Mus musculus: one gene and its partners. The protein of the gene in region 1 purifies or fractionates together with the protein of each later gene. This does not show direct contact. Links are inferred from orthologs where the notes say so. Each region holds a gene or a part of one and is shown in the gene's direction. Other genes may lie near its edges.

The links.
Region 2: the proteins of Exoc8 (region 1) and Exoc7 purify together in Homo sapiens (affinity purification with mass spectrometry; 4 studies listed by BioGRID and IntAct, counting the BioPlex papers as one, with this or other methods). This does not show direct contact. The link is inferred for Mus musculus from reciprocal best matches to the Homo sapiens genes EXOC8 and EXOC7.
Region 3: the proteins of Exoc8 (region 1) and Exoc6b purify together in Homo sapiens (affinity purification with mass spectrometry; 3 studies listed by BioGRID and IntAct, counting the BioPlex papers as one, with this or other methods). This does not show direct contact. The link is inferred for Mus musculus from reciprocal best matches to the Homo sapiens genes EXOC8 and EXOC6B.
Region 4: the proteins of Exoc8 (region 1) and Exoc2 purify together in Homo sapiens (affinity purification with mass spectrometry; 7 studies listed by BioGRID and IntAct, counting the BioPlex papers as one, with this or other methods). This does not show direct contact. The link is inferred for Mus musculus from reciprocal best matches to the Homo sapiens genes EXOC8 and EXOC2.
Region 5: the proteins of Exoc8 (region 1) and Ralb purify together in Homo sapiens (affinity purification with western blotting; 6 studies listed by BioGRID and IntAct, counting the BioPlex papers as one, with this or other methods). This does not show direct contact. The link is inferred for Mus musculus from reciprocal best matches to the Homo sapiens genes EXOC8 and RALB.
Region 6: the proteins of Exoc8 (region 1) and Exoc6 purify together in Homo sapiens (affinity purification with mass spectrometry; 4 studies listed by BioGRID and IntAct, counting the BioPlex papers as one, with this or other methods). This does not show direct contact. The link is inferred for Mus musculus from reciprocal best matches to the Homo sapiens genes EXOC8 and EXOC6.

Annotation. Positions count from the first base shown.
Region 1 is NC_000074.6:124,894,906-124,898,913, reverse strand, and holds the start of Exoc8 (exocyst complex component 8), read left to right. Parts: upstream 1-1,208; 5' UTR 1,209-1,287; coding exon 1,288-3,438; 3' UTR 3,439-4,008. Other genes in the region: Sprtn (sprT-like domain-containing protein Spartan), read right to left, coding at 533-756. UniProt on the Homo sapiens protein: Component of the exocyst complex involved in the docking of exocytic vesicles with fusion sites on the plasma membrane.
Region 2 is NC_000077.6:116,303,935-116,308,120, reverse strand, and holds the start of Exoc7 (exocyst complex component 7), read left to right. Parts: upstream 1-1,386; 5' UTR 1,387-1,447; coding exon 1,448-1,507; intron 1,508-1,667; coding exon 1,668-1,733; intron 1,734-3,072; coding exon 3,073-3,257; intron 3,258-3,438; coding exon 3,439-3,544; intron 3,545-4,186. UniProt on the Homo sapiens protein: Component of the exocyst complex involved in the docking of exocytic vesicles with fusion sites on the plasma membrane.
Region 3 is NC_000072.6:84,622,014-84,625,513, reverse strand, and holds part of Exoc6b (exocyst complex component 6B), read left to right. Parts: intron 1-276; coding exon 277-389; intron 390-3,500. UniProt on the Homo sapiens protein: Component of the exocyst complex involved in the docking of exocytic vesicles with fusion sites on the plasma membrane.
Region 4 is NC_000079.6:30,876,548-30,880,047, reverse strand, and holds part of Exoc2 (exocyst complex component 2), read left to right. Parts: intron 1-2,434; coding exon 2,435-2,500; intron 2,501-2,647; coding exon 2,648-2,805; intron 2,806-3,195; coding exon 3,196-3,317; intron 3,318-3,500. UniProt on the Homo sapiens protein: Component of the exocyst complex involved in the docking of exocytic vesicles with fusion sites on the plasma membrane.
Region 5 is NC_000067.6:119,473,783-119,477,282, reverse strand, and holds part of Ralb (ras-related protein Ral-B), read left to right. Parts: intron 1-1,210; coding exon 1,211-1,388; intron 1,389-3,500. UniProt on the Homo sapiens protein: Multifunctional GTPase involved in a variety of cellular processes including gene expression, cell migration, cell proliferation, oncogenic transformation and membrane trafficking.
Region 6 is NC_000085.6:37,549,016-37,553,217, forward strand, and holds the start of Exoc6 (exocyst complex component 6), read left to right. Parts: upstream 1-1,402; 5' UTR 1,403-1,449; coding exon 1,450-1,550; intron 1,551-4,202. UniProt on the Homo sapiens protein: Component of the exocyst complex involved in the docking of exocytic vesicles with fusion sites on the plasma membrane.

The DNA of each region.
Region 1 (4,008 bases):
ATGTTCCAGGACAGCCACAGATACATAGTGAGGCCCTCTCCCCTCTCCCCACAAAAAAGGGGGTGGGGGTGGGCAGCAAATCCCTAACAGTTCTTGGGCAAGAACTGTTTCACAAGAAAACGTCCCTGATGGGAGGATGGCTTTCCTGAGTGGGTCACTTGGCTTCAGAGAGTTAACACTTGCTAACCCTCACCCACTGTCACCCTCTCCCCTCCGCACAGGCATACATGGGCACTTCTCCCAAAACAGTCACAGGGCTGGTATGAGGTTAGAAGTACACTACGTCTTAGCCTGCTTTACCTCAAGCTGCTATGTGACAGTGTATGTGCGGGGCAGATTACTATCTCGAATAGGATTTCTCAAACTCTGATAAGGGATCCGGCTGGTTCATCACTGAGGGACGTTGGGCCCGGGACTGGGGAGTGGGCACGTTTCCCGGCGACCTCTCCCTGCGCCGCGAGGCGGGGACACCAACGACAATTTAGCGGCCTGGCCCTTCCCGACGTTCCGAGCCGTTCGCGGACGCACTCACAGGGTCATGCGCACACTCCACTTCACCTCCACCGCCTCCAGCTGACCCCAGAAGAAGCGATCGTTAAACTGCAGGAAGAGCGCCTGCAGGTCTGGGGTGGGGTCCACCAGCTCCCAGGACGCGTCCACCAACGACACGGGCTCCCGCGCCGCCGCCGCGCGCCGCGCCATCTGCACGTCCCACTCCTCCTGCAGCCGCAACGCGACCACCAGATCCTCGTCCATCCCGCTACTCCCACCTCGGCCGCTCCCAAGACGCCGGTCGGGCTCGTGCGGCGCACGGATCTCGCGAGGCCTCCCGGCCCTGCTGTCAGGGCGCGCGGGCTAGCCTCGAACGCCTAACCGAAGGTGGCTCGGCGCTGCCCCGCGGGCACAGGCTTAGGAACGCTGGGCTCGGGCTGGGGACGGCTTTAGGCAGCCGGTTGTCTCCTGACAGCCGCTGAGGTCCGGCGACACACGTCAAGTCTGGTCCGTGCCGGACCCTCCTCTGACTTCCGTGCTGGCTCGTCCGCGCACGCGCCTTAAGACGCTGCCGTTTCCGCGCAGGCGCATTGTCCGCACTCCGCCCCGGGCGCAGGCGCAGTGCGAGCGGCTCGACTCTGGCACAGGCGCAATGCAGCGCTCGGCTCCGGCGCAGGCGTTTGGGTGTTGCTCCCGCCCCGCTTCCTCCGCTGCCTTCTCCACCGGGCTCGGGTGGGGCCCGGAGGCGGCGAGTAACAGCCACTGCGGGCCGCGGGAGCAAGACGAGTGGCAGCCATGTCGGACAGCGGGGCGAGCCGCCTGCGGAGGCAGCTGGAGTCGGGGGGCTTCGAGGCGCGGCTGTACGTGAAGCAACTGTCGCAGCAGTCGGACGGCGACCGCGACCTGCAGGAGCACCGGCAGCGGGTGCAGGCGCTGGCAGAGGAGACGGCACAGAACCTGAAGCGCAACGTCTACCAGAACTACCGGCAGTTCATCGAGACGGCGCGGGAGATCTCCTACCTGGAGAGCGAAATGTACCAGCTGAGCCACCTGCTGACTGAGCAGAAGAGCAGCCTGGAGAGCATCCCGCTGGCACTGCTGCCCGCCGCCGCCGCGGGCGCCTCTGCGGGTGAGGACACGGCCGGCGCGGGGCCGCGGGAGCGCGGGGCGGTCCAGGCGGGCTTCCTGCCCGGGCCGGCGGGCGTCCCTCGAGAGGGTTCCGGGACGGGCGAGGAGGGCAAGCAGCGAACGCTCACCACGCTGCTGGAGAAGGTGGAGGGCTGCAGGGACCTGTTGGAGACGCCAGGTCAGTACCTGGTGTACAACGGGGACCTGGTGGAATACGATGCGGACCACATGGCCCAGCTGCAGCGCGTGCACGGCTTCCTCATGAACGACTGTCTGCTGGTGGCCACCTGGCTGCCACAACGGCGAGGCATGTACCGCTACAACGCACTCTACCCGCTGGACCGCCTGGCGGTGGTCAACGTCAAAGACAATCCGCCCATGAAAGACATGTTCAAGCTTCTCATGTTCCCCGAGAGCCGAATCTTCCAGGCGGAAAATGCCAAGATCAAGCGCGAGTGGCTGGAAGTGCTGGAGGAAACCAAGAGGGCCCTCAGCGACAAGAGGAGGCGGGAGCAGGAGGAGGCAGCAGCCCCGCGTGCGCCACCACCGGTCACTTCCAAGGGCAGCAACCCGTTTGAGGACGAGGATGATGAAGAACTGGCCACCCCTGAGGCGGAGGAGGAAAAGGTTGACCTTTCCATGGAGTGGATCCAAGAGCTGCCGGAAGACTTGGATGTTTGTATTGCACAGAGGGACTTTGAGGGTGCCGTGGACTTGCTGGACAAATTAAATCACTACCTGGAAGATAAGCCCAGCCCACCTCCTGTGAAAGAGCTGAGGGCCAAAGTGGACGAACGAGTGCGACAGCTCACCGAGGTGCTTGTGTTTGAGCTCTCCCCGGATCGCTCTCTGAGAGGCGGCCCCAAGGCTACTCGGAGAGCCGTGTCTCAGCTGATCCGGCTGGGCCAGTGCACGAAGGCTTGCGAGCTGTTTCTGAGGAACAGGGCCGCAGCCGTGCACACTGCCATCCGCCAGCTCAGGATTGAGGGCGCCACGCTGCTCTACATTCACAAGCTGTGCCACGTCTTCTTTACCAGCCTCCTAGAGACCGCGAGAGAGTTTGAGACGGACTTTGCAGGCACTGACAGTGGCTGCTACTCTGCCTTTGTGGTCTGGGCAAGGTCGGCCATGGGCATGTTCGTGGATGCTTTCAGCAAGCAGGTTTTTGACAGCAAGGAGAGCCTGTCCACCGCTGCTGAGTGTGTGAAGGTGGCCAAGGAGCACTGCCAGCAGCTGGGAGAGATTGGGCTGGACCTCACCTTCATCATCCACGCCCTGCTGGTGAAGGACATCCAGGGCGCCCTGCACAGTTACAAGGAGATTATCATTGAAGCCACCAAGCACCGAAACTCGGAGGAGATGTGGCGCCGCATGAACCTGATGACTCCTGAGGCCCTGGGCAAGCTCAAGGAGGAGATGAAAAGTTGCGGGGTCAGTAACTTTGAGCAGTACACGGGAGATGACTGCTGGGTGAACTTGAGCTACACGGTGGTAGCCTTCACCAAGCAGACTATGGGCTTCCTGGAGGAGGCATTGAAACTGTACTTCCCTGAGCTCCACATGGTGCTCCTGGAGAGCCTGGTAGAAATCATCCTGGTGGCTGTGCAGCATGTGGACTACAGCCTGCGCTGTGAGCAGGACCCCGAGAAGAAGGCCTTCATCAGGCAGAACGCATCCTTTCTCTATGAAACTGTCCTCCCGGTGGTGGAGAGGAGGTTTGAGGAAGGTGTGGGGAAGCCCGCCAAGCAGCTGCAGGACCTCCGGAACGCATCCCGGCTCCTGCGGGTGAATCCCGAGAGCACGACTTCTGTGGTCTGAGGCTCTGCTCTGTGTCTTTGTGTGTGTACGTGTACACGTGCTACAGATGCGTCATTTGTATTTACATTACACAATGTCAGCACATTCCTCAGAGACACAGACAGCATATAAAAGTGCCCTCTGAAAAATGCAGTCAAAAGGAGAAAGATAATGTGTTAAGCATCACATACAACCCCCCAATACTGGGACTGTCAAGAGCACATACCATGTCTTGCTCTGTTTTTTAATAATTCTTTAAGTAGAGTGTATGGTCACACCAGAACATTTCAGGCTACTCTTTAACTTGAAAGACACTTCTCACGTTAGCACATCTAGGAGCAGTGCACTTCCATGCTGCCTAGAAAAATATTAGGTCCACAGGGTTTAAGTATGTTGTAAAACATTCCAAGTCAACAAAATGGCTTCGTAATGGTCAGTGCTGTGTGACACACCTGTGTCCTGTACTGAGACAGATCAACATGAAAAGAAATGAGTTGGGAAAACTGGTTTGGGATAAATTTCAATATGTGGGCCTCAGGTCTGTCAGTATTTGTAGCATGTGGAAGGAAGCCTTTATAAAACTTTGCAGGC
Region 2 (4,186 bases), on another chromosome or scaffold:
CAAAGCCAAAAGACAACACAGAAATATGGACCGGGCGTTGTCCTGCTGCTGATTGGCTCAGACTAGGTGTTGTCCTGCTGCTGATTGGCTCAGACTAGGCGTTGTCCGTTGCTGATTGGCTCAGATTGGATGAGTAAGGCGTGTGGCCTTTGAGGACTAGAGTTGACTGTTGGAGTCGGGGCAGGAGGAGAGAGAGACAGAAGCAGAACTGAGCAGGACAGGGAGGTTGAGCAGAGAGAACGCCAGGGACTCGTAGCAGGGAAGTCGCGTTGAGTCTGGAGGGTTAGCTGAGGGACTGCCCCAGCAAACAGGCAAACAGCCTTATACTATACAGATGTCTCTGTGTCTCTGTTATTAAACCCACGTGGGATCCCACAAGTTCTGAAGTATCCATTGTAAGCCACTCTGTGTGGAATCCAGTCTCCAGACTTGAACCGTTAAGATATGATCTGCAAAAACAAATTTGTCTCCTCAGTCAGCGCTTTTATCCTAAATTAGGGTTTAGCTAACTGGAAAGATGGCTCAGCAGTTAAGAGCTCTTTCTTACTCTTCCAGGAAGCCTGAGTTAGGGTTAGGGTTCCCAGAACCCACATGACAGACAGCTCACTACTGTAATGTCAGCTCCAGAGGGATCAGATAACCTTCTGGTCTTCCAGGGCACCTGGCATGCAAGTGACGGCACAGACATACATACCCATGGGCGAAACATCTATCTATACACCATGTTAAAATCCACAAATAAATCATGAGCTGGTGAAATAGCTCAGCAGGTTAAGGCATTTGCCACAAAACCTGGCACCCGAATTCAATCCCTCTGGGTCCTACACATGGGAGGGAGAGAACTGTAAACCCTATATACCACTCCGTGCCAGCCTCCACCTCCTGCCTTCCGCCACCGCCCTGCTTTTTCTTGGGTGAGCTGGGTTTGGCAGAGCACACCTTTCTTTAATCCAGCCCACGGTAGGCAGAAGTCAGCCTGGTCTACATAACCTATTCCAGAGCAGCCAAAACGATCTAAAAAAAATTCAGGTATAATGTTGGTTTGCTTGATTTTTGGTTTGGAGACCAAGTCTGACTCTGTAGCCTAGGCTAGCCTGGAATTTACTATGTGATCCAAACTGGCTTCGAACTCGTGAATGGCCTCCTGCTTCAGTCTCCCAGCAAGGGGCTGTCTTTCAAAGGAGCGAGCAAACCAGCCTCTGGCTACGAGGAAAGACCCACGTATGCCTCAGGTGAGCGGCTCTTCCAGCCACATTCAAGATGGCGTCGACCCGCAGCCCGCTCGCGAGCTCCGGCAGGAACACACTTCCGCCTGCCACTCCCAACATGGCGCCCCCGAAAGCGTCCGGGGGCGGGGCCGAGGGAGGAAGTGGGCGTGACAGGGACGGAAGCCGAGCAGGGTTTGGAGCTAAAACAGCGGGGAGTGGGGACAGCGCTGTCCGCTGCTATGATTCCCCCGCAGGAGGCTTCCGCCCGGCGGCGGGAGATCGAGGACAAACTGAAGCAGGTGACGCTGGGGAGAAAGTGAAGGAAAGGCGCTCAGGGGCATCGAACCGGGGTGGAAGGGGAGATAGGGTTAGGCGTAGGCCGTGGTGCTGGGTGCTGGGTGCTGGTGGTCGCCTTTCACCATCGGCTTGTGGTGATGTCCTCCTCTCTGCCCCTCGCAGGAGGAGGAGACGCTGTCGTTTATCCGAGACAGCCTGGAGAAGAGCGACCAGCTCACTAGGAACATGGTGAGTAGCCTTTCAGCTGGGAGGCTGCCGCCAGGCTCCTGAGCCCCAGAGGAGGGGCGTGTGATGGACGTGTCCTGCGCCTGTCCAGGGACTCCAGCGTGGGTAGTAAACAGTGGGCATATCTTGCAGCGATGGGTATCTCTGCACCCCAGTTTCCACCCCATCACCGAGGAAACCGCTGCCCTATACCTGTTACTGTCTGTCCTTCTGCAAACATTTCGTGATATCCTGTACATGGCCTGGTACTGGCCCCGTGTCATTGTCAAATTCAAGCGAGGCGAGGCAGCGAAGTCACAGGGGCTTTGGAAGCAAAACCATCTCAGAGAGTTAATGCGTCTTAGATCTACCCAATGTCCTACAGCTTACTATGTGGTTCCTGGTGGTAGGCCTTGAGTTATGGTTAATTTACCTGGTAAAGCAGACAATGTCAGCCTCCCAGTGTGTCCGTGGAGGAAGTCTATGCATGCTTCCCAGTGTCTGGTATACAGTAAGATGCTTTAAAAGTGCTTGCATTTGTATTTACACAGTAATAAAATACTTGTTGAATGAGATTTGCCCTTAGGGAAAGAGGTTGGCTGTTTGTTTGAGGTAACAGTAATATATTTGCAACTATTTTGGAGGAAGCTACTTTCTGTTCAGTCTAGGAAAACTTCAGAGAGAACAGAAATTGAGATTTGACTTTCAAGGGTAGAAAGGAATCTATCCTGAGGTGATTGAAAAAAAAAATTTATTATGTATAGTGTTCTGGTTGTATGTATGGCCATATGCCAGAAGAGGGCACTAGATCTCATTATAGATGGTTGTGGTTGAGCCGCTATGTGGTGCTGGGAATTGAACTCAGGACTTCCGAAGAGCAGCCAGTGTTCTTAACTGCTGAGCTGGCTCTCCAGCCTGATTATCTCTTTTTGCAAATAAGCAAATTTATTTTATGTGCATGAGTGTTTGCATGTGTGTATGTGTCCCACAAATGAGCAGTGCCTGCAGAGGTCAGAAGAGGCTGTCATATCCTGTGGAATTGGAGTTACAGGCAGTCAGTTGTAAGCTGGCAGATGTGCGTGCTGAGAACTCAGTACCAGTCCTCTGCAAGAGCAGAGTCATCTCTCCAGCTCCTTGAAGGAAGAATTCGCTTAATGTTCCTCTTGCCGTCAGATGAACTTTCAACCAGTTTATGGTGAGCCGTGTACCAGACTAGGAGTGCAGTTGTAGCAAACAAGTCGACTATGTTCCTTCCTATGGGTAGCAGTGTATCGTCTAGAAAACCAAGAAAAGACAAGAAATGTCTGTGAGTATTTCCAGGACAGCCCTGGGAGCCATGAGCCAGAGGAGTTCCCCCCCACAGGTGTCCATCCTGTCGTCCTTTGAGAGCCGACTCATGAAGCTGGAGAACTCTATCATCCCTGTGCACAAGCAGACAGAGAACCTACAGAGGCTGCAGGAGAACGTGGAGAAGACGTTATCCTGCCTGGACCACGTTATCAGCTACTACCACGTAGCCAGCGACACGGAGAAGATCATCCGAGAGGGGTGAGTTCCATGCAGAGCTCTGCTCACATAACTAATGTCTCCTGGACCCATGGAGCCAAGTAAAACCCATGTGAGCGTGGAGCCCCTTATCTGCGTTCTCTTCTTCTCCCGCAGACCGTGGCCATAGTCTGTCTATGTTATCCCTGCCCTCCAAGGCTAAGCCAGCTTTTCTCTTTCCCAGCCCCACAGGTAGGCTGGAAGAGTACCTGGGAAGTATGGCCAAAATCCAGAAGGCTGTGGAGTATTTTCAGGACAATAGCCCAGACAGCCCAGAACTCAACAAAGTGGTAAGAAACGTATAGGTTAGCGTGAGACGACGGACAGATGGACATCAGTCCCTGTCTCGGTCTCATGAGGGACATGTGACAGTTTAAGGAAGTCTGTAGAAGCCAGGTGTGGTGGCCCAGGCCTAGAACTTGTGAGTTTGAAGCCAGCCTGGGATATGTGGTATTCCAGACTAGCCTGGGTTATGTAGTGACACCATGTCTCAAATGTTAAGCAAACGGATAAAAGAGGAAGATACATAGCAGTCACAATGTACGTGTTAGGTCCTGTGCCTGGGGACTGAGTGATATAATTTTCCATCATACTATTTCAAGTGTAAGTTTAGCATTTGATTTCTATATATGGATTGGAGGTTTCTTCACTATGGTAAAAAATACGTCCTGTACCTAGCTAGGCATGGGGACTCACGCCTGTAATTCTAGGACTTAGGAGGTGAGGCAGGAGGATTGCAGCAAGTCCAGATTGGCCTACATAGTGAGTTCCAGGATGGCCAGAGCTACATAGCAAAACCTGTCTCAAAGCTGTAAAGCAAAACAAACACATAAATTGTATAAAATCAACCATCTCAGCCAGGCGTGATGGCAGGCAAGACCTGCACTCTTGATACTTGAGAGGCAGAGGCAGGAGGATGGCTGCAAATGCGA
Region 3 (3,500 bases), on another chromosome or scaffold:
TTGAGATCAGTCCAGAATAGTGTCTCCACAGGCTGGCCCTTGAGGCTCACTGCTAGTGTGGAATCTCAGCAGTGGACTTGTGCTTATGGTGGAAATTACTCTATCATTGACATGTACTTCGTTGTAGTGTGGCCTTCAGCTATTCTTACCTTTGTTACATGTCCATTTCAGTATTTTAGGAGTTAGCTGGTAGTAAAGAATAATGAAATTACTGAGATCCTGATTTCCCTTGTCTGTTTGTTTAACCCTTGGTATGGGGATTGGGGTATTTTTCAGCTATTGGACCTCTTTATTCAGTGGGATTGGTCCACATACCTTGCCGACTATGGACAGCCCAACTGCAAGTATCTCCGGGTGAACCCTGTGACAGCTCTGACCCTGCTTGAGAAGTGAGTATCCAATCCTGTACTCTGTGTCGGAGGTGGGCAGTGGAGTAAGGGGTATTATACAAGACCATTTAACTGTTTCCAGTGCTGTCAGCCATCTTGACCATTGTACTTGGCAGTCAGTCATAATTCTTACTTAGCTCTAGCAAACTATATATACAGATCATAATGGAATTCTTTATTGCTTTGTAGCCTAAATAGACAAAGTGTCTTTACCTAAGGAAGACAAGATGTAAGATGACTTAGTTTGGGCTCCGGACAACATGATAAGCAGAGGAGTGTGTCCCAGCCTTTGGGGTTTAATGATATGTCGAACACATGCCTCAGAAATGTGGTTTAATTGAACTAGATTATGCAGCACCACACATCTTAAAGCTAGCCAACATGTCACCCAGGTGTCAGTATATACTGCAACCTGGCTCTAGTTGAGAAATACCAAGCCAGAAACTAAGACCCATGTTAAGAGGTTTTTAAAGCAAATTAGACTGACTAGTCAAAAGATACCTTTATCAAGGTGGTGAAGAAAGCTCATGTGTATGGGCAGCCAGGCATGCTCCAACCCTAGAAAGACAAAGGCTAGAGTACAGAAGGTCAGAATAGATCATTAGGGAGGGGGAAAAAAAGGAATGAAGGTGTAATATCTTTCTTACTAGGGGTGGGGGATTGGAGAGTGTACCAAATGTGAGGGGAAGCAAAGAGTAGGCAAGAGTAGGACGTTGGGCACTGTGTGTGAAGCCAAGCGATATGCTGAGAATTGATGTTTTCATGTTAACTTTCTCCCATGGTTCTCTCTCCCAACGATTTTCTTTTCTAGGCTATCTAGAGAGTAAGTATATTGTTCACTTAGGAATTTTTCATCAGTTTGAGGCAAGTCCTTCCCATTTCCCATCAGTGATGACAATAACTAAACTAAAATCCTGATCCTGTGAGTGGTCTCTACCCTGACAAACTAACCTCCTAAACTAGCCTGGTACCACCCAGTAAGCACTTCCCCTTTCTTTCTTTGTTCGTTACAGAGCTTTGGTTTACCAATTCATTTCAGGGTGGGAGTAATGGCAGGGGCTTTTCCATCAGCACTGGAGAAAGGATCTCTTCCATTCAGCTTTCTGGCGTGCTTGGTACTCTTATTGGCATAGAGTCTGCAGTTCAGCCCTGCCAGAAGAGCTGCTAAGTAAATCCCAGTTCCTGGGGACAAGGCTTATGACTTCAGGGTCTAGAACCTACATATCCCATGAGGAGTCCTCATCAGAGACAAACCATGTCCAGAGTTCTCATGACTCAGTAGAAATGGGGAGACAGTCCAGTGTTTGGCCTGATGCTCAGTCATGTCTCTTGGGATCCTGTACTCTTCCTTAGGTGATGTCTCGACATTCTCACCTAGCAGGCAACAAAGCTGTGTGCTAAGTCCTAGCCATCAGTGGACTTGAACTCTTTAGCTCCAAAATTGGAAGGCAAAGGCTCCCCAGGTCACTGAAATCTCCATCTTCCAGCCTCACATGAGCTCCGTCTCTCCTGACCTGGTTCTGCTTCCCCAGAGGCAGCTGCTCCCCATGCCTGCTAGTTTCTCTTTCTAAATCTGAATCTTCATAGTAAGGCAAGACAGAAGAACCCATAGCACTGCCAGTACTATCTAGGAAAAGGCAAAGTCCCTATGTCACTGAAAGGTGGACTGCCTAAAGGAGGAGAGAATGCTAGACTTTCAAGAGATAGGAAAGGGGAGGAGTCACTTTAAGTTTTGACCATTCCTGGATACAAACCATCATGCCACTGTCAGCCTTCATAGCACCTGAGAGCATGATTCCAACCAAAGGCTTCGGTGGCCAAGAACTATTTGCCTCTTGGTTTGTCTCTTTCTCCTGTAGAGTATAGGATCCTCCCCTGGAGCTACAGGCCATGTCTGGACACTCATTTCAGTGCTGCTGCAGGAAATTATAACATCAATCAAACCAAATGTCCTGCAAATGTAGAAAGGGCTTCTCTGTTTCCTCTTTCCTGTTGGTTTTTAAGTTGTTTGGATTTATAGCTTATCCAGCAAAAGGAAGAGGATTCCTTCAGAATAATCTAAAACCCTGCCAGTTTCACAAACATAATTGTGCAACTAGTGTTTAAAATAGCAGGCTGTACTCACCAGGGCCGTAAGGACCATTGTGCTCTCTTTCCAACCCAGTCAGGTCATCTGCCCTCCTTCCTAGCCTAGAGCAGGCTTCCAAGTATGGGCAGGAATTCAGTTCTGGATGGAAAACTCCAACCTGAAAGAATTACTCTTGAGTTTAGACTAGGGAGAAAAGTCACAGTTAGCTTTGGCTGTCACTGTCAGAGAGTGAGACAGCTGTGTTTCCTTGCCACTCAGATGCCCATATCAACTATATGTATCCCAGTGGATATATAAACATAGATGAACTCACACTGGGCCTAGTGTATAGCATGCAAGATGTAAATTGCATTTGTGGGATCCCTGTCTTTTGATTCATAGTCTCCAACTATACCCCTCTTCAAAAATCTGCCCACAAAGGAGAAGAAATGGCCCAGGATTGGCCAAAGACCTTTGGAAAGTATGCCCGGAAGTAAATTAGACCTCTGGCCTTTCTCCCTGTAGCCCTAAGAACAGGGAAGTCAAGGAGCCAGTTCAGTTCTAAGAACAAGGGTGTCAGCCAACTCACTTCACTCATGCAGATTAGGGTATATAGAGGCTAGACCAGAGTAAGTCATCAGCGATGGATTACAGGCCCTCTACAGAGAACAGCATAGTCAAAGGCTCTGTCACTGGTGCCTTGGCTGAACCTAGAGACTGCAGTAATATCAGTCTGGTCTTACTTTCTTTTACCCTCCATCCTGAGAGGGCCATCCACCTGACATAGCTATCTATCTTTATTATTTCTACTCCATGAGTGTCACCTGTAGAGCTTTAGCAGGACCATAACATAGATCTGAGATTGTATAGGACCATTGAGAGCTCAGGCTGTCTCTCACACAAAGTTGGCTTTGTTAACTGAGAGAGGCTGGCCATCCCTAGAGAACCTGCTTTCCTCAGCACTTTGCCCACCATTGTACCTGGCCATTGTACTGCTTTGCATCCATAGCCCTGAAACTAATCAGGAGACCAAAAATGAAGTG
Region 4 (3,500 bases), on another chromosome or scaffold:
ACTTGATATCTAGGTGATTTTGGCAGGCATTTAGATCAGCACAGATTGAAGGTAGAGCTGCTTTTGAAAGCATGTTCAGAACAGTATCCTAACCACAGTGTGCCAGGTACTGACACATACACACACACATATGCACATGCTATACATATACACACATATAGTGTACATGCATAAATCCATCCTAAAATACTCAGATACCATGTAAATAAAACAATGACTGAGATAAACTTTACTATCTTTCCCTCTTGAAGTGATCAAATAAAAGTCAATTTTTAAAAACTCATCCTAATTCTGTGAGTGTGTATCAAAGGAACAAAGCTAGGCTTCTAATGAAAGTGATCAATGATGGGATGGGAGGAAAAGGGACTCAGAACATAATCTCTCACCTGAGCCTTAGCATACAAGAAGTAGACAAAGGAGTTCACACAACACACATGTTTCCAAAGGGAGGTTCCAAGGAGAGCCCTGGCATGCACAGGTCCTAGCGGGCTTGGGTGTCAGTGGATTGGGTTGAGGCTGGAGGCACTGTGGGTCAGCTGCCTTTTGGAGAGAATCTTGGGAGGAAAGCATAGGTCTGTGTGTGCAGGCAGAATAGGAGTGAGAGAGGTGGCAGTGGGGTTGGGGAAAAAGTAGTGGGTGTAGTTTGTATTCAGAGGTAGTGTGCAGGTCTTGCTGGTGAATCATAGGGAGAAATCAAGACAAGTGTTCAGATATAGCAATGAAACAGGCTTCTGGCTAAGCAGGTGCTGTCCACAAAGTTTCTTTCTTGAAGGAAACCTGCCAGGTTTCTGGTTTTTAGTGTACTGCATGAGAGGATCCTGTGAACGAATACTTAGGAGATAATAGGTAATCTAAGATCCCTGTATAAGTCTCAGAGGTTTTGAACTGCAAATCCCCGTAAGGGAGATAGTATTTGAAACTAAAGGCAAAATTAGTGGGAGGTAATAGAAGAGAAAAATATTTCCCATACTCAGATCAGACAATTGGTAGCTTTCAGAAGGCTACTGTGTATCACTCTGTGAGCCAAACAAAGCAGAAAGCAGAGCAGTAGAGCTCTGTGGTTTGTCTGGGTGGGAGAGAGAAACCCTGTGCTGTGGTACCTTCCTGGCTGTTGGCGGTCATCTCACCTGGGCACGTAGCCTTCATCCTTACAACATTCAGGCTAATCGTGCCATTTCCCTGCTTACTACACTTAATACACTTTGGTATCTTATATAATAGTATATAAAACTACTTCTCATGTAAGACAGTGAACTCAGGAGTTAGCTTTTTAAGTGATTATGATATAAACTTTTAACTTATATTTTTAAGTTTCAAAGTAAAAGTATATTTGTACAAAGAAGAATGATGAAAGCTTCACAGCTTAACATGAAATCTTAAGTCATGTAAGTTAAGGGTATGTGCTAGGTATATATTTGGTACTGGTTCTTAATCAGCAGAGTAGCCTAACCCTTCTTGTACTCATTCATGTCAATGATGCCCAGCTCCATAGCTCTAGTATGTGTGCTATATATGCACATATAGAAAGCATGACTTATATTCTCACATTGACTTCACGGGAATATTGTAATTATTTATGCGTCTCTTAACTTGAAAGGTCTTTGACATGTCTTTACACTTAGTCAACAGTACCTGAAAACTTTAAACTTAACAGATACATTTTGTGTTATGTTAATGAAGTATTAGAGTTTGTTCTACAGTACTTAATTTTGTTTTGCTTCTCTATCTGAAAAGGTCATAAGCTTGTCCTTTTAGGCCATTTTTATATAGTAGTATTTGGTTGTCAGAACATTTGTTAGTAAGAAACTAGCAGAAGTCCAGTTGAATAGATTCCTCTTAACTATGAAAACAGTCTCCTGTACATTACATTAAATAAAGAAAAACATAGACTTTATGAGTAAATAGAAATAAATAATTCTAAAATGATAGAATGTATTCACTCCTAAGATACACTGCGAAGAAAACAGTGATTTATAAATAAAAATAAAGGGACAGATGTAGTGCTTGTGTTTTTGATAAATATTTACCAATTTCCTTTGGCACAGATGTTGTGTGCTCTCCATTAGCTCAGCGTTTACTCTCCCTTTGTTGCTTTGCCAGACAGTGAGATGTGATGGGAAGAGTGCCGTCCTGGGCACGACGCACCATGTGGTTCAGTTGCAAGTTGAGCATTGATGGGAAATGGCACACCTAATTCACCTACGAAATTTGTAGTCTCAGCTTGGTTCTTGAGTGTGTGCCTCGATTTGTAGCAGAGCTTAGAAAGACGAAGGCTAACTCGTTTTGGAATAAGAAAGGTTTTGTTTCTGGTTATGTCTTAACATTCATTTAATCAGGTTAAGTCTCATGTCTTCCTGTATGGATGCTAAAGCATTTCTTAACTTTTCTAAGTTATTTCTAAAAGATAGCTAATTTTTTTTTGTCAATTTCTTAGACGGCTGAGAAGTCAGGCCAGAGTGAAAGATCAAAGAATGTGAGGCAGAGACAAAACGATTTCAAGGTGAGTGAAGGGTGAGAATGCTGACTTCTCAGAGCACTCTCTCTCCTGGCGTTATTGAAGACTTTACAGTCAAGATACTGTCTTATCATTTAGAACAAACTCTACCAGGTTGATGACCATAATGCAGTTTTGCTTTTCATTTTCTAGAAAATGATTCAAGAAGTAATGCACTCCCTGGTGAAGCTGATCCGGGGAGCCCTGCTTCCACTCAGCCTCCGAGAAGGGGATGGGAGGCAGTATGGCGGCTGGGAGGTGCAGGCAGAGCTTTCGGGGCAGTGGCTCGCACACGTTATCCAGACCATAAGGCAAGTGTGGGCACGTGGGAGCCATGCTCATGGAAAGGGCTCAGTGGGTTTACATGCATTTGTTTGCTGTAGTGGTTTTTAAAACAGTCAACACCCCAGAGTAAGATATGCTACTTAACATGTCATTGAGGAATTTATCTTCTGCCTCTCTGTCCTGAGGCTCCTATTTCTCACTTATCTAGCCAAGCAGTTCTTCAGCATGTCTGGTATATGTGCTGGATGAGAGTGTCATACTGTCTGTGCACCCATCTGCTGCAGAGACCCTGTACTGTTCCTGCTGCGCTCATGCTGTCACTCCTGAGCTCCGTGAGGCATACACACAGGACAGTCCAGGCAAGGCAGGGCTGCTCGGATCCCCCTTTTCTCACTTGTGTTTTATCTGTTTGCCAGGCTAACATATGAATCACTGACCGCCCTGGAGATTCCCAATGACATGTTACAGATTATCCAGGACCTAATTTTGGATCTCCGAATACGTTGCATAATGGTGACATTGCAGCATACGGCCGAAGGTATCTTAGTTTTACTGGACAAAGTTACCTGAGCTGGCTTCTTTCCAGCTTCCAAAGCCTTGAAAATGAGAGAAAAATAGTGTTAGATAAATTTGCACCTATTTATTCATTTATAGCTGTAGAATAGAATTTTTTCTTTTTTTTAAGTATCTTTTCAAAACAATTTAAGATTTAAGGCATTGC
Region 5 (3,500 bases), on another chromosome or scaffold:
AGGCTTGTGTGGTACACGGCAGCTGGGGTGCAAAAGAGGGAGTCTAGAGTCCCAGTGTCCCTTCCCAGGGCACACCCCAGAGACCTATCTTCTTCCCACCAGGCCCTGCCTCCTAAAGGTCTCTAAAGAGCTGAAGGTTCTGGCTTGCTTTCTGCAGCTGCGGTGTGTGTATGGAGGAGACGCACAGCAGAGAACTCAGCGTGAGCTCTTGCGGCTGCAGATTTTTTTTGAGCATTCAGGAAGTTTCTATGTGGGTAACACTTTTGTGATCACAACTGTGTTTCCTCTTCATAATCTGATTTTGAGGCCATCCCGGAGATAAAACAGGATGTCTGTACACACTGCTTTCTTCTCTCCCTTGTGCCTGTATTGGAATTACTAAGCATTTTTGTGAGCTGTTGCTTTGGGTTTGATTGGATTTTTTTGTTTTGTTTGTTGTTTTAAGTAGTGTCTCATGAAGCCTTAAACTTACTATGTAGCTAAGATGACCATGAACTTCTGGTCTTCCTGTCTCCTGGGTTTACAGGCGTGTAGCACCATGCCTGCCTGTAGAGTGCTGAGAAGGAACCAGGGGTGGGGGGTGGGGAGGGGCTCTGTGTATACAGTGGGAGCACCCTGCCATCTGGGCCATGTCCCCGAGATTCACAGAGGGTTTCTTCCTGACTTCCCTCTCCCTTTCTCTTTGACCCCATAAATTGGGGGACTCCGTTGAGATGCAGACTCCTGACTTCCTATGCAGACATCTCTTTTGTAGGAGTATGGGGCAGAGAAATCCGTACCTGGGAGAGACCAGATGATCATAATGGACGAAAGCTAAGGGCCAGCCTGGAAAAGCCCCTGCTAGTAGACACCCATTTTGAAATCTCCCGATGGAATGATTTCTCTTGTTCTTTACCGAGGGCTTTAGATGCTCTGTAAACCCCGAGGCACCTGGCAGCTACTTGTAAAGCTGACTTCATATGCCAGCTTTTAAACAAAACAAAGCAACTTTATTTATTTGTGCGCTGTGCGTGCACCGGCATACATACCATAGTTCACGTGGAGGAAGGAGGACAACCTGCAGGAACCAGTTATCACCACTCACAGTGTAGATCAAACCCAGGTCCTCAGACTGCCTTGGAGGCAAGCACTCAGCCGCTGAGCCGTCCTGGTGCCTCTCCCGCCAGTTTTGGCTTTCTTAACCACACTGTTCTTGCCGCACCGTCCCTAGGGAACAGATTCTCCGAGTCAAGTCAGAGGAGGACAAGATCCCACTGCTGGTCGTGGGCAACAAGTCCGACCTGGAGGAGCGGAGGCAGGTGCCTGTGGACGAGGCCCGAGGCAAAGCGGAGGAGTGGGGTGTGCAGTACGTGGAGACATCTGCAAAGACCCGCGCCAATGTGGACAAGGTAGGACGAGTTCTGGAGGCTTCTCAGAATCTGGCTTTTGCTGTCTCAAGACACAGCCATCTCGTTTGCTTGGCTTTTAATTTTATTTCAACTCTGTGTGTGTGTGTGTGTCTATCTATGTAGGGGTATGTGAATGTAGGTGCTTATAGAAGTAAGAAAAATCCCCTGGAATTGAAGTTGCAGGTAGCTGTGAACTGTCTGATGTGGGTACCGGGAACTGAATTCAGGCTCTCTGCATGAGTGGCACTCTCTCCTGACCACTCAGCCACTGTGGCTGCTGCCTCTGCTACCACTGCCCCCTTCTTCTTCCTCCTCTTCTCCTCCTTTTCCTCCTTTCTTCCTCCTCTTCTTCCTCCTTCTCTTTCTTTTTTCTCCTCTTCCTTCTCCTCCTCCTCTTTCTCCTCCACCTTTTTTCTTTTGACAGGGTCTCGTACCACCCGCAGTCTGACCTCAAGCTTGGTTATGTAGGCAGTGTCACACCTGCAGTCTGACCTCAAGCTTGGTTATGTAGGCAGTGTCACACCCGCAGTCTGACCTCAAGCTTGGTTATGTTGGCAGTGTCACACCCGCAGTCTGACCTCAAGCTTGGTTATGTAGGCAGTGATGACTTTCTAGTCCTTCTGCCTCCATCTCCCAAGTGCTAGCATTCAAGCTTTGTGCCATCACAGTTGACTTGTCATTTTTCTGTTTTCCTTTTTCTTTTTTCATCCTTTTTTTTTTTGTTTTGTTTGAAAGTCTCACACAGGCTAGCCTAGAGCTCCGTAAGTAGCTGAAGAGACCCTTGAACTTGTGATCTTCCAGCCTCCAGCCCTCTACCTTCCAGCACTGGAATGACAGGCGGGCATCATAGCACCCGGTTTATGCAGTGCTGGGAATGGAACCCAGGGCTCTACACAATCACATGACCGCCCTGTGGTTTTTCTTTTACATCAGAGTTCAGAGTGTTAGCACACAGTTGAAGTAGGTGCCTTACAGCTGAACTTCACGCCGTTTTCCCATGCTGTGCTGTGGGCTCTTACTTCACATCCTGGGCTTGTGAAATCAGTGCAGAGCCAGGGCAGGCAGAACAGAAGGGCTATGTCTGCACCCAGTTATGCTCGGCCACAGATCTGTCTACCTCTTCTTGTTCTCAGTTCACACTGTAGCCCAGGCTAGCGCTGTGGGATGTCACTCCCTCTCTTTGTACCCTACCAAGGAGAGCTGTTTGACTAGCTGGTTCTAGAAGAGGGCTGAGTACTCTCAAGGGACATTCGGAGGACCTGGCTTTAAGAGCTTGGTGCTCTCTGTAGCCTGGGGCACAGTGAGTTGTGTTCCATCGTCAGCTAGATTTTGGTTATCATGTGGGCCCCAGGGAATTGAGTTCACGTTGCCAGGTTCTTATCCTCCACCGCACCATGTCCCTGGTTCTGTCTGTCTGCCTGTCTTCTGTCTATGTGTGTATGTGTGTGTCTATCTATCTATCTATCTATCTATCTAGACAGGGTCTCATATGCTCTAGACTGACCTGTAGATCTCGTGTGTGTGTAAGGAGTGCTAGAAACACAGGTGTGGACCGTTGCACCTGGTTTGTGGGTGTCAGGGTGGACCCCAGTGCTTGGCAAGCCCTCTCCCAGCTGCCGTATCCCAGCATCTTTGTTTTCTTTACATTGTTATCTGAACTCTCACGTTGCTTCTTATGATGCTCAGACTTCTGTTCCTAGCTGAGGGAAATACAGAGGGCATCCAGGTATAGCCTTAGTCTTCTCTGGAGAGGAGGAGGGTGCATGTTTGAGACAAGGTGTAGTGCTAGTTGTCCTCTGCCTCCCACACCCGGACTAAGGCTTTATGTTTTAAAACCAAGAAGGCTGTCTGGTCATGGTAGCACATGCCTTTGATCCCGCTACTCAGAAGGCAGGAGCTGGCAGATCTCTGTGAGTTCAAGGCCAGCATAGTCTACTTAAGGAGACCTTGTCTAAACAACAACAATGAAACAAAACACAGACTTTTTCAGTATGAAAATGCTGACGTTTTTGAGAAGGCTGGAGTCAGTGCTCTGGGATCTCATTCTGGGGCGGGGTGCACAACATCATGTCCCCCTCCTCTCCCTGGACAACCTTTGACCTGCAGGAAAAA
Region 6 (4,202 bases), on another chromosome or scaffold:
GTCATAGGCAAAGACTATGATAGCATTTGGAATCTGGCAAAGAAAAGGAACAAATTCTTTCCTAGAGTCTGGAAAAAAATGCAGTTGTGTCGCCATGTTGACTATAGCCCAGTGAGCATTCTAACAGATTACACTTGAGTCATTTTATGCTCTGGCATTTGTTACAGAAATAATGGAAGTTAATATAATATAGGATGTAGTACAAGGTAGATACCACAGTTATTAGCAGCTGCGGCTGGGGACACTGAGATAGAAAAGTATTAAGTTTTGCCTAGTGTCACATGACTGAGTGGGGTTTGGGACAGTTGTCTTCAGAGGACATGTTCTTAATTGTTTCTCAATATCATCTCCCAGGATTTCTTATGGGGAGGAAGAGGAGGAGGAAGAGGGAGAAAAGGAGAAGGAGGAAAAGGAGGAAGAAGAGGGAAAAAGCTGGTAGTAGAGGCCCAGGGAAGAGAGTGAGTCTGACAGCTGGCTCGTGCAAAGCCTGCCTGACTCACAGGGAAGCTCAGAGCTCCTGAACTTAGGGAGAGCAGAAAATTAGTTGTCCCTCTGGCTAGGTTTGAACTCTTTTCTGACTAATCTTCCATCAGTGCTTTGATCATGACAAGCTGGTTTACACGGTGTCCTAGATACAGGTTGTTAAGCAAGCCTCTTTTTCTACATGTGTCCCTTTGCTCAAGCCACCTGCCATTTCCTTCTACCACTTTATTGCTCATTCTTTCCCCCTAGAAGTCTATTCCCACCCCAGCCCAGCTACCACTCCCTGGGAGCGCTTGGATTCAAGAGCTTCAGCATGAAATCCAACATTGCCCTGGGCCTCTTTTCTACGTTGCCAGCAAGCGCCTTAGTCTTGTTCTCATTTTCCCTCATTTTGATAGTTTATGTCCAATATGACTAACCTCGGTGAACTTGCATCCGGCAGGGGACACGATTTTTTCAGAGCAGTCGAGGTATAGAATTTTTGTTTGTTCTTAAAATAAATCTCAACGACACACTCAGTTTTGATTTTCGGGAAAGCATTTGCTTTTCTCTGACTCCCCACTATTTAAAGCCCATCAGGTGCTCAGTAGCTTCTATCACTATTACTGAGGGCGTGTGACCGAGGGTCACCTCCGTTATTGCTAGGGTACCTGCAGTGCACAACAGCACACACTGCACTAAAACATCTCTAGATAACTAAGGGCAGGTCGCGAGGAAAGATGGAGGTGGTGGTTCCCCTCCCCTCCCGGCCACCCCCCCCCCCCGCCCCGATCCCCACCCTCTCCAGGTCATCCTTACCTCCCCAGGGGCGGGCTCCACCCGGGCGGGCCCCACCCACTGCGCCCCACCCCTCCAGGCCCCGCCCCTCCCCGCCCCGCAGCGCCGCGCCGCGCTTGCGCCACCTGCCGCTCGCTCCTGTGGTCCGCGCGCCGCCGCGCCCGGCCGGCGCCTCCGCTTCCAGCCAAGATGGCGGAGAGCTGCGAGGCTCTGGGCACGGTCCCGGAGCACGAGCGGATCTTGCAGGAGATCGAAAGCACCGACACCGCCTGCGTAGGGCCCACCCTCCGGTAAAGTTCTCACATGCCCCGGCTTTCGGGCTGCCCTGACCAGGGACTCCTTAGGAGCCGGGCGGGGCGTCCGCTGCCGGGTGCGCGCGCGTCGGCCCGACAGGTGGTGCGCGCGGGGGCGGGCGCTCGTGGGCTGCGGGACCCGGAGGGCCCGGGCACCTGTCACCGCGCCGCCTGTGGGTGTGGCTGCCAGGGTGTCTCTGACCCGGAGAGCCGCCCCAGCCTAGGGCCTTGATGCCCCAAGGCCCTGACCCCTAGGCGGAGGCTGTCTGCTCTGTGCTGGGGACGAAGGTCACCTGCAGGTGGCCGGCGTGACTGATCCCGGTGCCAAGTTGCGCGCTGATGGAAACCCCAGCGCACTGACTGCTCTGGGCGTGGGAGAATTGAAATTGAGCGGGAGACGCCAGCACCTTTCTCCCACGCTGCAGCACCCTTCTCCCCGGGCGAGACGCGAGCGTGGGCTGACAGCTCGAGTTCACGCAGGGGTGACGATGCTCTTGGGACAGGAAGCTTTTACTTATTGACAAACGTTATGTTGATTTTGTATTAAAATTTCAGCGTATTTTAAATGGATCCAAACCCACTCTCTTTAGGAATAGTACCAGTTAATGAATAGTCCATACCGGACGGAATACTTTCTGCCCCCATAGACTGGTACTGGTACAGAGCTATTAGCCATTAACACTAGGTTAGACACTTCAAGGATTACAATTTCATCTTTTGCAATTAGGATGAATGAACTTGTGGTTCATTAAGGGAATTTGAGACGGATTGTGCTTTGTCAGTAGTCTTTCTTCAGGACACACTTCCTGGAAATGGAATTCTGTTTTCTCACTGTAAATGTAGATAAAATGAAGTCAGTTCAACTTGTAAATTCACTTTGCCCCAGGGAGCCAGATCATGTGGTGTGTTTCTTGTTTCTTTCTCATAAACCTGTCACTGATGACTGAAAAAATCATTTAACCCCCTTGGCCTTGTTTTTGTATTTGTAGAACGGGGTGGGGTTGGGGTGGGGGTGGGGGTGGGAAGTTGTTTAGAACATGAGAGATCTTGCCCATTTATTCTCTACCTCCAAGCACTTAATAGGCAGGTTATGTTTTTTTATTACAGAAAGTTCCTGCTATGATATGCAAAGGCCTCATTAGTATCTTTTAATTTTCTTTTTCTTTCCTTTGTTTTTGTTTGCTAGACAGGGTTTCTCTGTGTAGCCCTGGCTATTCTGGAACTCACTTTGTAGACCAGGCTGTCCTCAAATTCAGAGGTTTACCTGCCTCTGCCTCCCATGTGCTGGGATTAAAGGTGTGCATCACCAATGCCCAGCTCCTTATTGTTAATTTTCTTACATGAATTTTACATATACAGTAGTTTAAAATAGGAGTCAGACTCAAAGAAAACTTTGTGACATCTAGATTCCACTGAAGGACCTCTCCAGTCTCATAGGACAGCCATTCCTTAATGTGTTCATGAAGCAGTTCATTTGCCAGGGGTCAGGAAATGCACTTTTGTCTTTGGTAGCTACCCAGCCAGTGTGGACTAGAAAATGAATCCTCATTGGTATGTTACCCCTGGTTTTCAGGAGGCTGGAAATCAAGTCCCTTTGTTGGACCCTAGGAATGATACACATCAGGACTGGCCATCACCCAGTAGGAGTGGCTTATAATAGAGGTCAGCAGTTTAACGTATTTTGAGACTATTTCACTATATTGCCTTGGCTGTCCTGGAACACACCATGTAGATGAGGCTGGCTTTGAACTCACCAAGATCTACCTGCCTCTGCCACAGCTTGTTGAGATTGCTACCATTCTGGTCAAGTTTTAAATTATATATTGTCTGGGTGAGGTATCCAAACATCCTGACGCCCACTAGAGAATAATCTAGTAGCTGTGCAGGTGCATAGCACATAGGGTATTGGATATCAACCTTACTTTAGATTCTTGGGCTTGTGTAAGATCTAGATTATAGGCAGAGTTGCGATTCTTGCTGTGAATCCTGCCTTACCTCAGCAATGTGGGCGCACCTCACCTAGCGAACTGAGCAGGGTCTAACAATGAAAGAACAGAGAAAAGGGGCCTGTGTGTGTGTGTCTGTGTGTGTGTGTGTGTGTACACGCACTCTCTCTCAAAATTGTTTTTATTTTATTTTATCTTATGTGTATGAGTATTTTTTTCCTGCATGTGTGTCTGCACTGTTCGTGAACCTGGTGCTGAGGATGTCAGATCTCCAGGAGCGGGTGTTACGGACTGGACTCCATGTTGCAAGGCACCACGTGGGTACTGGGAACTGAACCTGGGTCTTCTAGAAGAGCAGCCAGTGCTCTTCACCGCTGAGCTCCCTCTCCAGCCCCTGAGTTCTCTCTTCGTGTGCTGGAACATGGATCTCCTCCTGCCTTTGGAGACTGGGACTTCTGGAACCCTTCTGTGGGACGCTGAGACTTCTGTGGGAGTCCCTGTGGGTCCCTGGATTTCTGATTTCCACAGACTTGTGTTCCTGGTTCTGATTCTCTAGCTTGCACAGAGTCTGTCATGGCAGCTCTTCCCTTCCAGAACAAACAACTTAATTCTACACATTCTTTTAATTTCATTCCGTCTTCTCTCCCTCCTTCCTTCCCCCTCCCTCCCTTCTTCTCCCCTTCCTTTTCTCTCTTCTTTCTTT